Arabidopsis thaliana: one gene and its partners. The protein of the gene in region 1 interacts with the protein of each later gene in a pairwise test. Each region holds a gene or a part of one and is shown in the gene's direction. Other genes may lie near its edges.

The links.
Region 2: the proteins of PSBO1 (region 1) and AT2G25625 interact in a protein complementation assay, tested with the Arabidopsis thaliana proteins (one study listed by BioGRID).
Region 3: the proteins of PSBO1 (region 1) and LTO1 interact in a two-hybrid assay, tested with the Arabidopsis thaliana proteins (one study listed by BioGRID).

What each region holds. Positions count from the first base shown.
Region 1 is NC_003076.8:26,566,645-26,570,976, forward strand, and holds PSBO1 (PS II oxygen-evolving complex 1), read left to right. Parts: upstream 1-1,927; 5' UTR 1,928-2,099; coding exon 2,100-2,342; intron 2,343-2,638; coding exon 2,639-2,932; intron 2,933-3,018; coding exon 3,019-3,480; 3' UTR 3,481-3,817; downstream 3,818-4,332. Other genes in the region: AT5G66560 (Phototropic-responsive NPH3 family protein), read left to right, coding at 1-18.
Region 2 is NC_003071.7:10,904,587-10,907,853, forward strand, and holds AT2G25625 (histone deacetylase-like protein), read left to right. Parts: upstream 1-1,628; 5' UTR 1,629-1,975; coding exon 1,976-2,076; intron 2,077-2,155; coding exon 2,156-2,513; 3' UTR 2,514-2,764; downstream 2,765-3,267. Other genes in the region: DBP1 (DNA-binding protein phosphatase 1), read right to left, coding at 210-392. UniProt on the Arabidopsis thaliana protein: Triggers stress-induced chloroplast degradation, independently of autophagy and senescence-associated vacuoles.
Region 3 is NC_003075.7:16,941,515-16,946,296, reverse strand, and holds LTO1 (NAD(P)H dehydrogenase (quinone)s), read left to right. Parts: upstream 1-1,619; 5' UTR 1,620-1,674; coding exon 1,675-1,773; intron 1,774-1,849; coding exon 1,850-2,135; intron 2,136-2,415; coding exon 2,416-2,672; intron 2,673-2,768; coding exon 2,769-2,881; intron 2,882-3,031; coding exon 3,032-3,179; intron 3,180-3,263; coding exon 3,264-3,503; coding exon of another isoform or gene 3,504-3,564; 3' UTR 3,565-4,266; downstream 4,267-4,782. Other genes in the region: SEN1 (Rhodanese/Cell cycle control phosphatase superfamily protein), read right to left, coding at 314-388, 469-522, 623-693, 784-980, 1,073-1,224; AT4G35750 (SEC14 cytosolic factor family protein / phosphoglyceride transfer family protein), read left to right, coding at 4,623-4,746. UniProt on the Arabidopsis thaliana protein: Thiol-disulfide oxidoreductase catalyzing disulfide bond formation of chloroplast proteins and involved in redox regulation and photosynthetic electron transport.

The sequences.
Region 1 (4,332 bases):
AGATCACGACGGTCTTGAATTGTTTTCGATTGATTTTACTCTTTTTAGTACAGAATCAGAAAGCATATTGTTGTGATTCTTGGATTTTAGTTTTTGTTAATCCTTCGAGATTCTTGCTATGCGACTGCTCTACACAAATGTGCATCGTTTTGAGTCTTGTACTCGAATTAGTAAAACCAGAAATGACATACGGCACAAAGCCCATCGTTAAACGTTTCGAATTGAGCCCTTTTCTCGACTTCCTCCGAATGGGCCGTAACAATGGGCTTCAGTTGCCCTTATCTATCGTAAACTGGGCACTGTTTTGGAGAGAAATTGTTTCATATTTGTGGAATGTGCGCCGTTTTAACGTAGGAAAAGAGGGACGAACTACTCGCTGTTCAGAATCGGTAGTAGGACTTCATGTCGTTTTATAAAGGAGAGTTCCTAAAAACCTAAACCCTACTTTAGTTCTACTATATAAATCAACCGGCTTTGGCTGAGAAGAAGCCATTAGCACAATCCGAGTACCGAATCAAACCTAAGTCTCTGTAAATTTCCTCGTTTTCCGTAGATTTAGTTCTTTGTCATCCCATCTTATTAGGGTTATTCGTTTAATTTCGTTTGAATCAGTTGATACTCTCTGATTTTCCAATATGTGTTTGAATCGGCATATTAATCTTTGATCGACTCGATTTTGTGTTTTTAGAAAATAATTTAGATTTTTTTAGAGAAGGAAAAATATTCTCAGTGATGAAGAAACAATAGATGACGAGTCCGATGAAATCCATTCATAAAATCGTGGGGACAAACGAGGCATTTGTCTGAGAGGATTATTTTTCTTCGTTTTAGCATTCTAAAATATCTAGGTTTTAGGAACGTGTATAAAGGGGATTTCTCAGTGATGAAGGAACAATAGATGACGAGTCCGATGAAATCCATTCATTAAATCATGGGGACAAACGAGGCATTTGTCTGAGAGGAATCCTTTTTGTTCAATTAGTTTTGTTTTAATTAGACTTAGCAGGAAGAAGAAAGGCATGATGAGGATTGTTTTATTGTCATCTGATTCTTATTGATGAATCTATACCTCCTACTCATTCTGAGTGCCTTCTCTTGCTCTTAATTTTCAGTCACAGATATCATTGCATTAGTAGTCACTAAATTCGGATTCAATTATATTGACTCTAGGGAACACTACATTTCAAGTGAATCTACAGATACTCTAATAATATAACACAATCTGCTAAGACCAAGTGATAAACCAATTGAACTAACAAAAAAAATAAGTTTATGAAATCATAACTATTTCTTGATATTAAAAAATAACAGCAAAGATGCCAAGTTCATATAACATAAGGCCTTCAAGGAGAAACCATAACTTGTAATTTCAAACTGTATACTGGAAAGCAGACTGTGCTCAATGTGGTTTTGGATAATTCCCTGCATCCTAGTCCTGAAGTTGAAGCAAAACCTCTAGTATTGGCATTCTTACATATGATGAGTTAATTTCTGAGAGGGACGTACATTCTGATTCAGGCTCTAAAGGATCGATTAAGATTTTTAATTTATCAGGACCAAATCAGAAAAAATTTATATGATTTCTATCTGTATACTTAGAACAGCATCCATAAAAGAAAAATGTTGTTGAAGATCAATTGGACATTGGACAAAAACCTAGTGGGCCGGGCCTTCTTTGCATCTACTACTTGAAAGCCTTAAAAAAGAAAATTAATTGAAAATTAAATTTTACATTTAAGTGTTAGCATCCAAGGCCCATTAGCTCAGTTGGTTAGAGCGTCGTGCTAATAACGCGAAGGTCGCAGGTTCGAAACCTGCATGGGCCACCTTTAATGTTTTTACAACATAACAATTTTTGATTATTTTATACTATTATACAGGTCAGCACCCCTGACTGAGACAGTATCCATATCTCCACTTCAGATTTCGACACGTGGCAACAAAAAAAACCAGACACTCCGATTCCCACGAAACAAACCAATCAAAATCGTTGCCTTATCCCAATCTTATCTCAGCCCTTTTGATTATTACTCTTTAGTCTTTACTTTGCTCACAGCTTTGGATCACCAAAAAAAAAACTCAAGAGAGACTTTGTGGCCATGGCAGCCTCTCTCCAATCCACCGCTACATTCCTCCAGTCGGCGAAGATCGCCACCGCTCCTTCTCGCGGAAGTTCTCACCTCCGATCGACTCAAGCCGTCGGCAAATCTTTTGGGCTCGAAACTTCCTCGGCTCGCCTCACTTGCTCCTTCCAGTCTGACTTTAAGGACTTCACCGGTAAATGCTCCGACGCTGTCAAAATCGCCGGATTCGCTCTTGCCACCTCTGCTCTCGTCGTCTCGGTAACTTTCTTTAATCTCCGACTCTCCTTTAAAACTATAGATTAATCAAGAAAAAAAAGGAGAATTGAGTAACAGAGAAGAAGAGTATTTTGTTGTGTTTGTGATAACATGTTTATGATTTGCATTACTATGTATCGAAGTTGGCACTTGAGAACACCTAAACCAATAACAGACTCGGATAGTATAATAGAAGGAGAAACCGCTATTCCAATTCTGTAATCTTCGATTCATGTAGATACAATCTTCTTGGATCAGTGAGTTTGATTTAAAGTTGCTTGTTTCTCGTGTAATGAAAGGGAGCAAGTGCGGAGGGAGCTCCAAAGAGATTGACCTATGATGAGATTCAGAGCAAGACATACATGGAAGTGAAAGGAACTGGAACGGCTAACCAGTGCCCTACTATTGACGGTGGCTCTGAGACTTTCTCGTTCAAACCCGGAAAGTATGCAGGAAAGAAGTTCTGCTTCGAGCCTACTTCCTTCACCGTCAAGGCAGACAGTGTAAGCAAGAACGCTCCTCCAGAGTTCCAGAACACAAAGCTCATGACCCGTCTTACCTACACCCTTGACGAGATCGAAGGACCCTTCGAGGTTCGATTTCGCGTCTTTGCTTAGACTGCAAGAAAAAACTCTGCTTAGGGTTAGGGTTTGTGATTGATCGTCTCTTTAATGAGCAGGTTGCTTCAGACGGAAGCGTCAATTTCAAGGAAGAAGATGGAATCGACTATGCTGCAGTCACAGTCCAACTTCCAGGAGGTGAACGTGTGCCATTCCTTTTCACAGTCAAACAGCTTGACGCCTCAGGCAAACCAGACAGCTTCACCGGAAAATTCTTGGTTCCATCGTACCGTGGCTCTTCCTTCTTGGACCCAAAGGGCCGTGGTGGATCCACAGGATATGACAACGCCGTGGCATTGCCAGCTGGAGGCAGAGGAGACGAGGAGGAGCTTGTAAAGGAGAACGTGAAGAACACTGCCGCTTCAGTGGGAGAGATCACTCTGAAAGTGACAAAGAGCAAGCCGGAGACAGGAGAGGTGATCGGAGTGTTCGAGAGTCTTCAGCCGTCGGATACTGACTTGGGTGCTAAGGTACCAAAGGATGTGAAGATCCAAGGGGTGTGGTATGGTCAACTTGAGTGATCATGTTATTATATTTTCCGTTGATTGTGTTTGATGATAATGATAACATCTTTTGATGCTTTCTTCGTTTATCTCTCTTATATAAAATGCACATGCCTAAGATCTTGAATTTTCTGTATATCCATGTCCTTCATCGTAAAAACAGTACCGATTTTAACCTTACGGTCTATGATGAGAAAAGCATAAAAATTGTTTGTTATCGACTAAATCTGGTTTGGTTAAGACTTAAGAGTCTATTGGAAAGTTGTGAAGCACATGTTAAGCAGTTGAGGTGAGTCTCTTTGTAAAGGTGAAGATGAGTTTATATATCGTACTACTTGTTTAAACTCAATAAACTAGGCTAAGTTAGCATTTATCAGAACTATAACCAAATCGAATTTGTTGTATATATAGATTGGTACAGTTATTTATCACCAAATTTAGTCCACTTCGAACCAAGTCAAAGAAAAATAGGAAATGCACATCCTTAAGAACCTCTAATTGTCGGTTAAAAAAGACTAAGAACTGTTCAAAACTTATGATCTCAAATGGTAATAATAGAAAGAACTAGCCGTTGTTTGTTTGTTTTTGTCTCCCTTCAACCCAACCCTTTGTGTATTTTTCCTACACTATATTATCCAATGTTTGGGCCTTAAAACATGTTATCAGTCCCCAATATGATGGGCTTTCTTGTATAAGTTCCTTTTTTCTTCATCTTTTTATAAATAGATAAACCTCCATTTGACAGTAACAACAAAAATATACATGACTGGATTGCATGGTACTCCTGTGATATAGTATTTTATAAGAAATTAGTTAGATGCATCGGGTGGCGAGTAGCAAGTGGAAATAATGTTTTAATTTTTGAAAATA
Region 2 (3,267 bases), on another chromosome or scaffold:
AATGAAAATCAATCAGAAAACCTCAAACATCTCATAATGACACATTAAAAACAGAAACTTTCTACCTTAATTATACACATTAGGAAACCAATAATGATCAAATCCAAAAGCAGAGCAATAATTACAAAACCTCAACTTAAATTGATCATTCAATACACAAAATAAACCTAACTGATCCACAAATCAAGTTGAAGAGAAACGAATCTTACGAGAGATGAGTGTCGAACCAGTGACCTCTTATTACACGGCGCCAACGATCGCTCGCCGTCGAAGGTTTGCCTGTAAACGGCAGCAGCGGCGGAGGAAGAAGAGAAGGAGAGTGGATTCGGCGGTTTACCGCCGTAACTCGAACTCCCATTCTCTGGATCAGAAATTCCTCTAGTTTCTTCCATATTGAAACATCATCGTATAAAAATTCAATAAGCAATTATGGAAACAGCTGACGAGTCAACTCACGAGTGAGCGAGTCGATTAAAAACGATTTAACGAAGAATGTAGCTTTAGATGAGAGATTCGTAAACAATGGATTCAGAATCGAAAACAAAATTGAAGAGATTGTTGAAAGGTTACACGAATTTCAGGGTTTAAGAGAAAATTAGGGTTTTGTGGAAGAAATTGGAACACGCAGAAAGAGAGAGATAATAAAACTGTTCGCCGGCGGAGGCGAGAAATATGAGTCCGACGGTTATTTAAAAGGCAAAAAGAAAAAGGAAAAAGGAAAAAGGAAGCTTAACATAAACACGAAACGTCGGCGTATTATTTACTTTTTCTCTTTGCTTTTTTTTTTCCTTTTTGTTTTTGAAGTGAGAGATTTTTTTTCTTATTAAAAAAGGGATATATTTACAGTTTATATGAGAAGTAAACATAGTATTTTGAAAAATAGCAAGAAAGGAAATCTGAAATTTTAGACTAATAGCAAAAAGATTTTGAGTTAAGTTGACAAAATTGAATTTTAGTAACTTGGGACCTTTTTTACATCTTTTTTATATAAAAAAAGTCGACACATGAGATATTACTTATAAAATTAAAAATACATTATTTTCATGAATATTTAATAGAGTTTATGAATTTCTCACATATGTTAATTATTAAGTGCTGAAAAATGTTTAATTGTTTTTCTGTATAAATGTTAAGTACTGAAAAATGCTTGGAATGTTTTTCTATATTTATATCTCTGCTATTTATATGTGTGATTTAGTGTTATTTAGGGCATTAAATATAAGATATTAAAATATTAAATTTTTCTATAATTTAAAAATAAGTAAATAAACATGTTGTAGACCGTAATTGCCAGATTATTTGTGCTGTTTCCTAAATACTTTTACATTCTTTGATGGTCACCAAATTAACTATAAGAAAAATTAGGACTCAGTCTCATTAATTTTTCGGAAGAGAAAAAGAATCAGTCTCATGGTAGTTGTTAGGAAATATTTGAATATTGTTTCGCCATTAGAAACTTTTTATGTGGATTTTTTTCCTGAAAACGATGGTTACTATTAATTAAACGGACCGACAAGAACCTTGTTGACGTGGTAACAAGTGATGACACATGCTAATTGGCCATCATTGTCAAATAATTTGTTCGCAAGGCGTGATACGTGTACGTTGTTATTCAGACGTAGCAAACAGATTCACGACTTTTGTTCAATTTGTCTTTGTATGGAGTATGGACCTAACATCTCCAACGGACCAATGCTATTGGGTCAAGTCCATCTTTTCTAGGTTAAGTTCATTCTTTGGGCTTTAGTTAAGTATAGAGAAAGAACATATTGGAAGAAAAATTTAGATGTGGTTTGTATTGCATGCGCATATGAAATGTAATAATTTGAGGATACATATATAGTAAGAAAAAATGAGTGACCCAAGTAAGAATGGGTTAGTAGTTATATATATGTTGGAGGTGAAAGGAATAAAATAAAATTTGTTCTAGGTGGATTCTTAAGAAAAAGAAGGAAACGAAAACAGAGGAATAACAATGGCAGGGAGAATAAGCTGCTGTCTAAATCTTCCTCCCCTAGATTCAAATTCTGCACAATCATTAGCTTCACTGCTCAAGACAACGTCAAAGATCTCTTGGTATCTCTTCTATTCATGAAAAGTTATTATTTACCTGATAATTTTTCATATCAATGATCTTTGTTCTTTTATTGTTTAGTAGGAGAACAGAAAATGAGACAGAGCCACGGAAAAACAAGTGTTCTTTTGTCTTGGGGGTGGCGGCAACTGTCGTAATCGGCGGGATTCAGATCAATGATGTTGCATCAGTGGAAGCTGCGGTTGTGAAATCGCCGGTAGAAGAGATGGCTGCGGGTGTGGTGCCGCCGCGGAGGTGGAGTGACAAGAGGACGTGTCCGCCTTGGCTTGAGAACTCGCTAGAGACCATCGTACCGGAGAATCTTCCTCGTCCGTCTGCTCATCGACGTTTGGAGTTAGCCGGATTAGCTAAGGGTGATGCACCGCCGGTCGGTGTGGTGATGACACGTGTCAACAGGGGTGGTTGTTTCTCCGTGTAAATTGGAAGTTCATTACGTGTAAGGGAGATTGTTAGGCAGGTGTAAAAAAAGTCAATTAGAAACAAATAATACACACAAAAACTATTGTAGATATATTAAATTTTAAGTATTTGTTTGTGTAGTTACTGATGACAAAACATTGAACCAAACTGGTCTTTAATTCATGCAAAATTTTCTTTGAGGATGCCATTTTTGATTTTTGGTTTAAATCGAACCGTATAAAAATAATTAACTCATTAAATTCATTGAGATCTTTATGTGCACGATTAGTTTTGGTCCGTCCTTTTTTTCTTTGTTTTGTAATCTTGTATCCTACCAAATTTTGGGAGTTTTCAGCTTTGTGTGTTAAAGTAGTACTCTATTGGATGTGAAATGAAAGAAAAGTAGTACATGCGTGTAGTACAAAAGAAAAACACTCCAAGTACTTCCTACTGAAATGAGTTGGCCTATTATCGATCCAAAGTGAAGCCCAACTCTATGTCACTCCAACGATTAGTTTGATTTCGGCCTCGTATTTCAAAGTTTAACTACAACTCTACAAATTTCACTTCCATGTCGGACCTTCAATAATTTAATTTCTTGATGCTCATGTTCTTTGCTTTTACAAGAATGGTGAGAGAATAAAGGGAGATTAGCCTTAGCGAGAGAGAAAAGACTCGTAGCATGAAGAGAAGAAGAAGAAAAAATTGGTTTTGCAATAAGAGACCTACGTTAACAAGAAAATGGACACAGCTTGATCATCTTATGCAAATCC
Region 3 (4,782 bases), on another chromosome or scaffold:
TTAAAACTTAAATTTTAAGAAAGTAATTAATAATTTTTAACTAAAATAATGTTAATTTCACTATTATCATTTAAAAATTAGTTTAAGTATTAAAATTTTAAAACGGCGAAAACTAAACGTGTGTAGGCATGCATCCCCGTCCTTAATTGGTCCGTAAACTTTGTGGTGTTCGAAGTTCGGTAAAGCTTTCACCCAATATAGATTTGACAGTTAAACTATGTTTTAGAGAATAATAATGATGATTGATACTTGCGTTGAGAACATCTACAGAATTTATTGATAATTACAGGAGGTGATATGGCTATGATTGTTTTCACTCTTCTACCGGCAGCTCATTCTCTGTCCAAGCGACGTATCCTCCAGCAATGTCTGTGATCGCCGTGAAGCCCTGTACATGTGGCGACATTAAACCCGCTTGTCCTAAACCGGATAACGGCTATATAAATTGAAGTGATATTACACACATACAGCAGTGAGAAGATCAGTTGAGGCCATAAATGACATTTGACCGCTCTCACAACCCTGCAGAAGTAGTTTATTACGTGCATCAGAGATTTTGTGAAACAAGGGATTGTCTTCATAGGGGTTTATTTAGTCTCTGAATGTCAAAACTGAAACTTACGATTATGATTTCATCGTGTTTCCTGAAGTGGGACGAGACCTGTCTTAGAAAACTCGGGTTCTTAACCATTCCTGCAACGGTTTTGGCTTGGTGTTAGTTTTAAGTTGTTTTTCATTTTCACTCTTTCTCATAAGAGGAACCTTAAGGTCGGTGATGAAAACCTGATCCGACTCTGTACATGTAAGGTACGTTGATGGCTCTAGTCGGATGTCCGATGCTGAATTCGTCTGGTGTCCTCACGTCGAGATAGCGGTATCCTGCTTGAGCTAGCTCACGCGCCACTCTTACTGGTACTGACGTAGGAATTTTAACTGCCTCTGCTGCAACATTTCCTCTGCTTGTTGTCGTTGCTTTCCTCCTTGAGCAAGAAGTTAATACTCAGATTTAATATTTATTCATAATCTAAAATCAGATAGAGAAGGCGATTCTCGTCGTTGATTGCTAGCTTACCATCGGAAGTTTGAGTTTCGAAGATCAGCTACAATAACACCTCTTCGTGTTGGTAATTGGCACTTGAAAGATCCACATGTTTGTAGAGGTGGAGAAATAGCCGATGACCAGTTTCCAATTCGTGATGTTGTGTTAAAAGCAGTGGTTTCCATTTTCACTTCTTCTTTGAAACTTCTTTTAGAATGCTTTGATGCTACTTAGATACTTCTTCTCTTAGTTCTATAGCGTTTATATAATACATACAGACACAAAGGTATGGGTGTCACGTCAGCAAGTTTTATGTCCGATCTTCGAGTCTCTATCATTTCTATGGATAAATTCAATTATGTACCAAAGTCGATTCCAAAATGTAAACAATGCGTAGATAATGAATCATGATAAGTCCAACTCGGTGCCTCGTGAGTCGTGTTGAAGAGGATAACTTGCTGACTCGGACGGATAAGAAGACCGTAAGGCCCAATTGTGATAAACTAATTATGGATCCAAATTATCGTATTTGGGCCTCGTTTAGGCCCAATATTGAAACAAGTGGCTGAGATAGTGGAGCGGAGGAGAGAAGATGATGAAGTTAACAATGGTGGAATAGCGATTCTTCGACGACGATGATGGCGAGGTTTGTTTCTGTGTCGTCTTGTCAGTTTCATTTCGGCTTCCGTGAGGTTTCTCCTCCGTCGGTAACTTCTTATCCTAGACGATTCGAGGTAAATTCTTGTCATGTGTTTTCTTCAGTGACAGTAGTGTGTGATCGGTCATTTGAAGTCAGATGTTCTGAATTAGGTCTCTGATCGGAGATTTCCTGCGATTCCGATTAAATGTTCTTCATCTGAGCCGGAAAACGGTGAGGATTCGGCACCGTCGCTGTCTTCCTCCTCCTCATCGTCTACAAGTGAAGTATCTACTAGTAACAGTTCGACATACAACTGGTACACCGGAATCGGCGGTATTGGGATGTTAGACACTGCGTATTTGACTTACCTCAAGGTCACTGGCTCCGATGCGTTTTGCCCTATTGGTGGTGGCACTTGCGGTGATGTCCTCAACAGCGATTATGCCGTCGTTTTCGGTATTATCCATCGCTTTATTGATTATAGCGTTTGATTTATGTAGCTAATTGTCCTCTCTTTTATAGTAGGCATGATTAAATACTCGCATGTGATAGTCTCTGTGAATCTTTGCTTGAAGCTATATCATTTAGGAGCTTTGGTACTTAGTATGCATAGAATTGTTAGAGTTAAATAGCATGCTTCACTCCACTCTATGTAGTGCTTTGTCTTCGTTGTTTGTCCAACATTGCATTGCAGGTAAGTTGAACTCAATGAAAATCCTTTTTTACATTTTGCCAGGTGTTCCTCTTCCAGTGATTGGATTTGTTATGTATGGCGTAGTAACCGCTCTAAGTGCAGAGCTTGGGGAAGGGAATCTACCTTTTGGAATCAGTAAGAGCAATGGGCGTTTCGCGTTATTTGGGATCACGACTGCAATGGCATCTGCTAGTGCATATTTCCTGTATATCCTTAGCACAAAACTCTCAGGATCATCATGCCTGTATTGTCTGGTGTCTGCTTTCTTATCATTTAGTCTATTTTTCCTCTCTGTAAAGGTATCCCTTTATTTCCATTTCTTTTTTTTTCCTGATGTTGACTCAAGATAACTTCTAAACTTCGGATTATGATAATGTGCTCCATGCATGTGGTAGGATGTGAAGTTGCAAGAAATACAGCAAGTTGTAGGATTGCAGATATGCTTAGCAATCATAGTAGTTGCCTCCTTGACTGCTTCTTACAGTACTGCTCAACCAATCCCTTCACGGTAATCAAAGTTCATAGTTTTCTTTGGGGAGTCCCGATAGAAATTTTAGTCATTTGTAACGAGTAGTGAACAAATAGCTTCCGAAAGATGTATGAGTCTTATCAGGTGGTCTCTTTTAATCCCGATCGTTTTTTGTTTCACTCCTTCCAGCTCTGGTGACATTGAACTGCCATATTTTAGAACAGAGATCAGTTCATCATCGAGCCCTTATGCTATTGCTTTAGCAAAACATCTAAACTCCATTGGAGCTAAAATGTATGGGGCATTCTGGTGTTCTCACTGCTTAGAGCAAAAAGAGGTAGTTAGTTCATTCATCACCTGTTTGCCAAGAATCAGTTTTATGCTTTTATTATATGTTCATTATAGTTCCATCCATCTACAGATGTTTGGAAGAGAAGCGGCAAAAGAACTGAACTACGTGGAATGTTTTCCGGATGGATATAAGAAAGGAACTAAGATACTCAAGGCATGTGCAGATGCTGCGATCGAAGGATTCCCAACATGGATAATAAATGATAAGGTGAGTAAATCCTCTGAACCCCTTGTACATTTCATCACATGTCAGTACCTATTTCACCTCTTTTATAAATTAGGTCTTAAGCGGAGAAATAGAACTCGCTGAACTAGCGGAGATGACTGGATTCAGCCTTGATCAGGCAAATGAGACCAATCAACTTCAGTAAATTTTGTATTGGTGCAGAAAATATTAAGGTGAATCCGTAAATGTTGTTTACTTGATCCTCCTGATAGCTATAGGGTGTTCTATACAAATTCAAGTAATGAAAGTGCTTATTGTTGCCATAGGAGGTTACAACTTCATCTGTATCACTTAGCCTACACCAGAGCATCACTATTTTATAATTGAAAGATTCATAGGTTCTTCCAAAGAATGTTAGGGTACTATTAATTCGAGAATCTACAGCCATCTAGTACTGGCTTTATGTAAGTATAATGTCTAAAAGTATGGTCTATATAAGAGAGTCACACATGTATTTTGTATATATATGCGTGTAGAGTAGTAGCAGATATATGATGTATGGGAAACTTAGAGAATTACGTTTACAATATTTGGTGCCCTATTGAATACCTTCCTTGAATGTGCCTCCTCGGTATTTTTCTATTGTAATGATCCATCCACAAGTTTCGCTGTTATTATCCGTTTAATATGCAGAAGATAATGTTTTTCCTTATATTTTTTAAAAGATTCCATTGGGCATTGGATAGATATGAACATAGAGATCTTTATAATCTTTAATAATTTGTAAGCTCAGATTAGTTTAACTCAACATCGGATGGGATGATCCAAAATAACGCCCATCTTATCCAATAATCTACATGAATCATGTGATGAGACGTAACGCTTAAGGCGGGGGGCGGGAAAAGAGTCAAAAAAGGCAGTAGCCGTTAGATGTAGCAAAAACGGATGGACCAGATTAGTTGCTTAACAACGAAAGATCAAGAGAGGGCGAAAAAGGTAATAATTATTGGAATGTAGGACCCACAAAGAGGTGAGGAAGATCATGATAAAAAGGAAGATGCTATAGAATATTCGTAAGAGCCCGTCGTTTCTCCCATTACCCTCCAATTAATACACTATTTTTTTTATTTTTTTGTCTTTCCCTTTTTAAAATGATCATCATCTTCTTCTTCACTCGCCTCAATTTTTGTTCCCTTCTTCTTCTATAATTCAACTGTGAATTTCACCGACGAAACAAAAAAGAGAGAGAGAGAGAGAGAAACGATGAGTTCTCAGATTTCGGAGATTGAACAAGAGCAGCTGATCGAGAAGCTTGAGATCTTCAAGATCCATGGCAGAGACAAACGTGGCCGTAAGATCCTTCGTATTATCGGAAAATTCTTCCCAGGTACTGATATATCAATCGGATCTGTTTCTTTTTCTC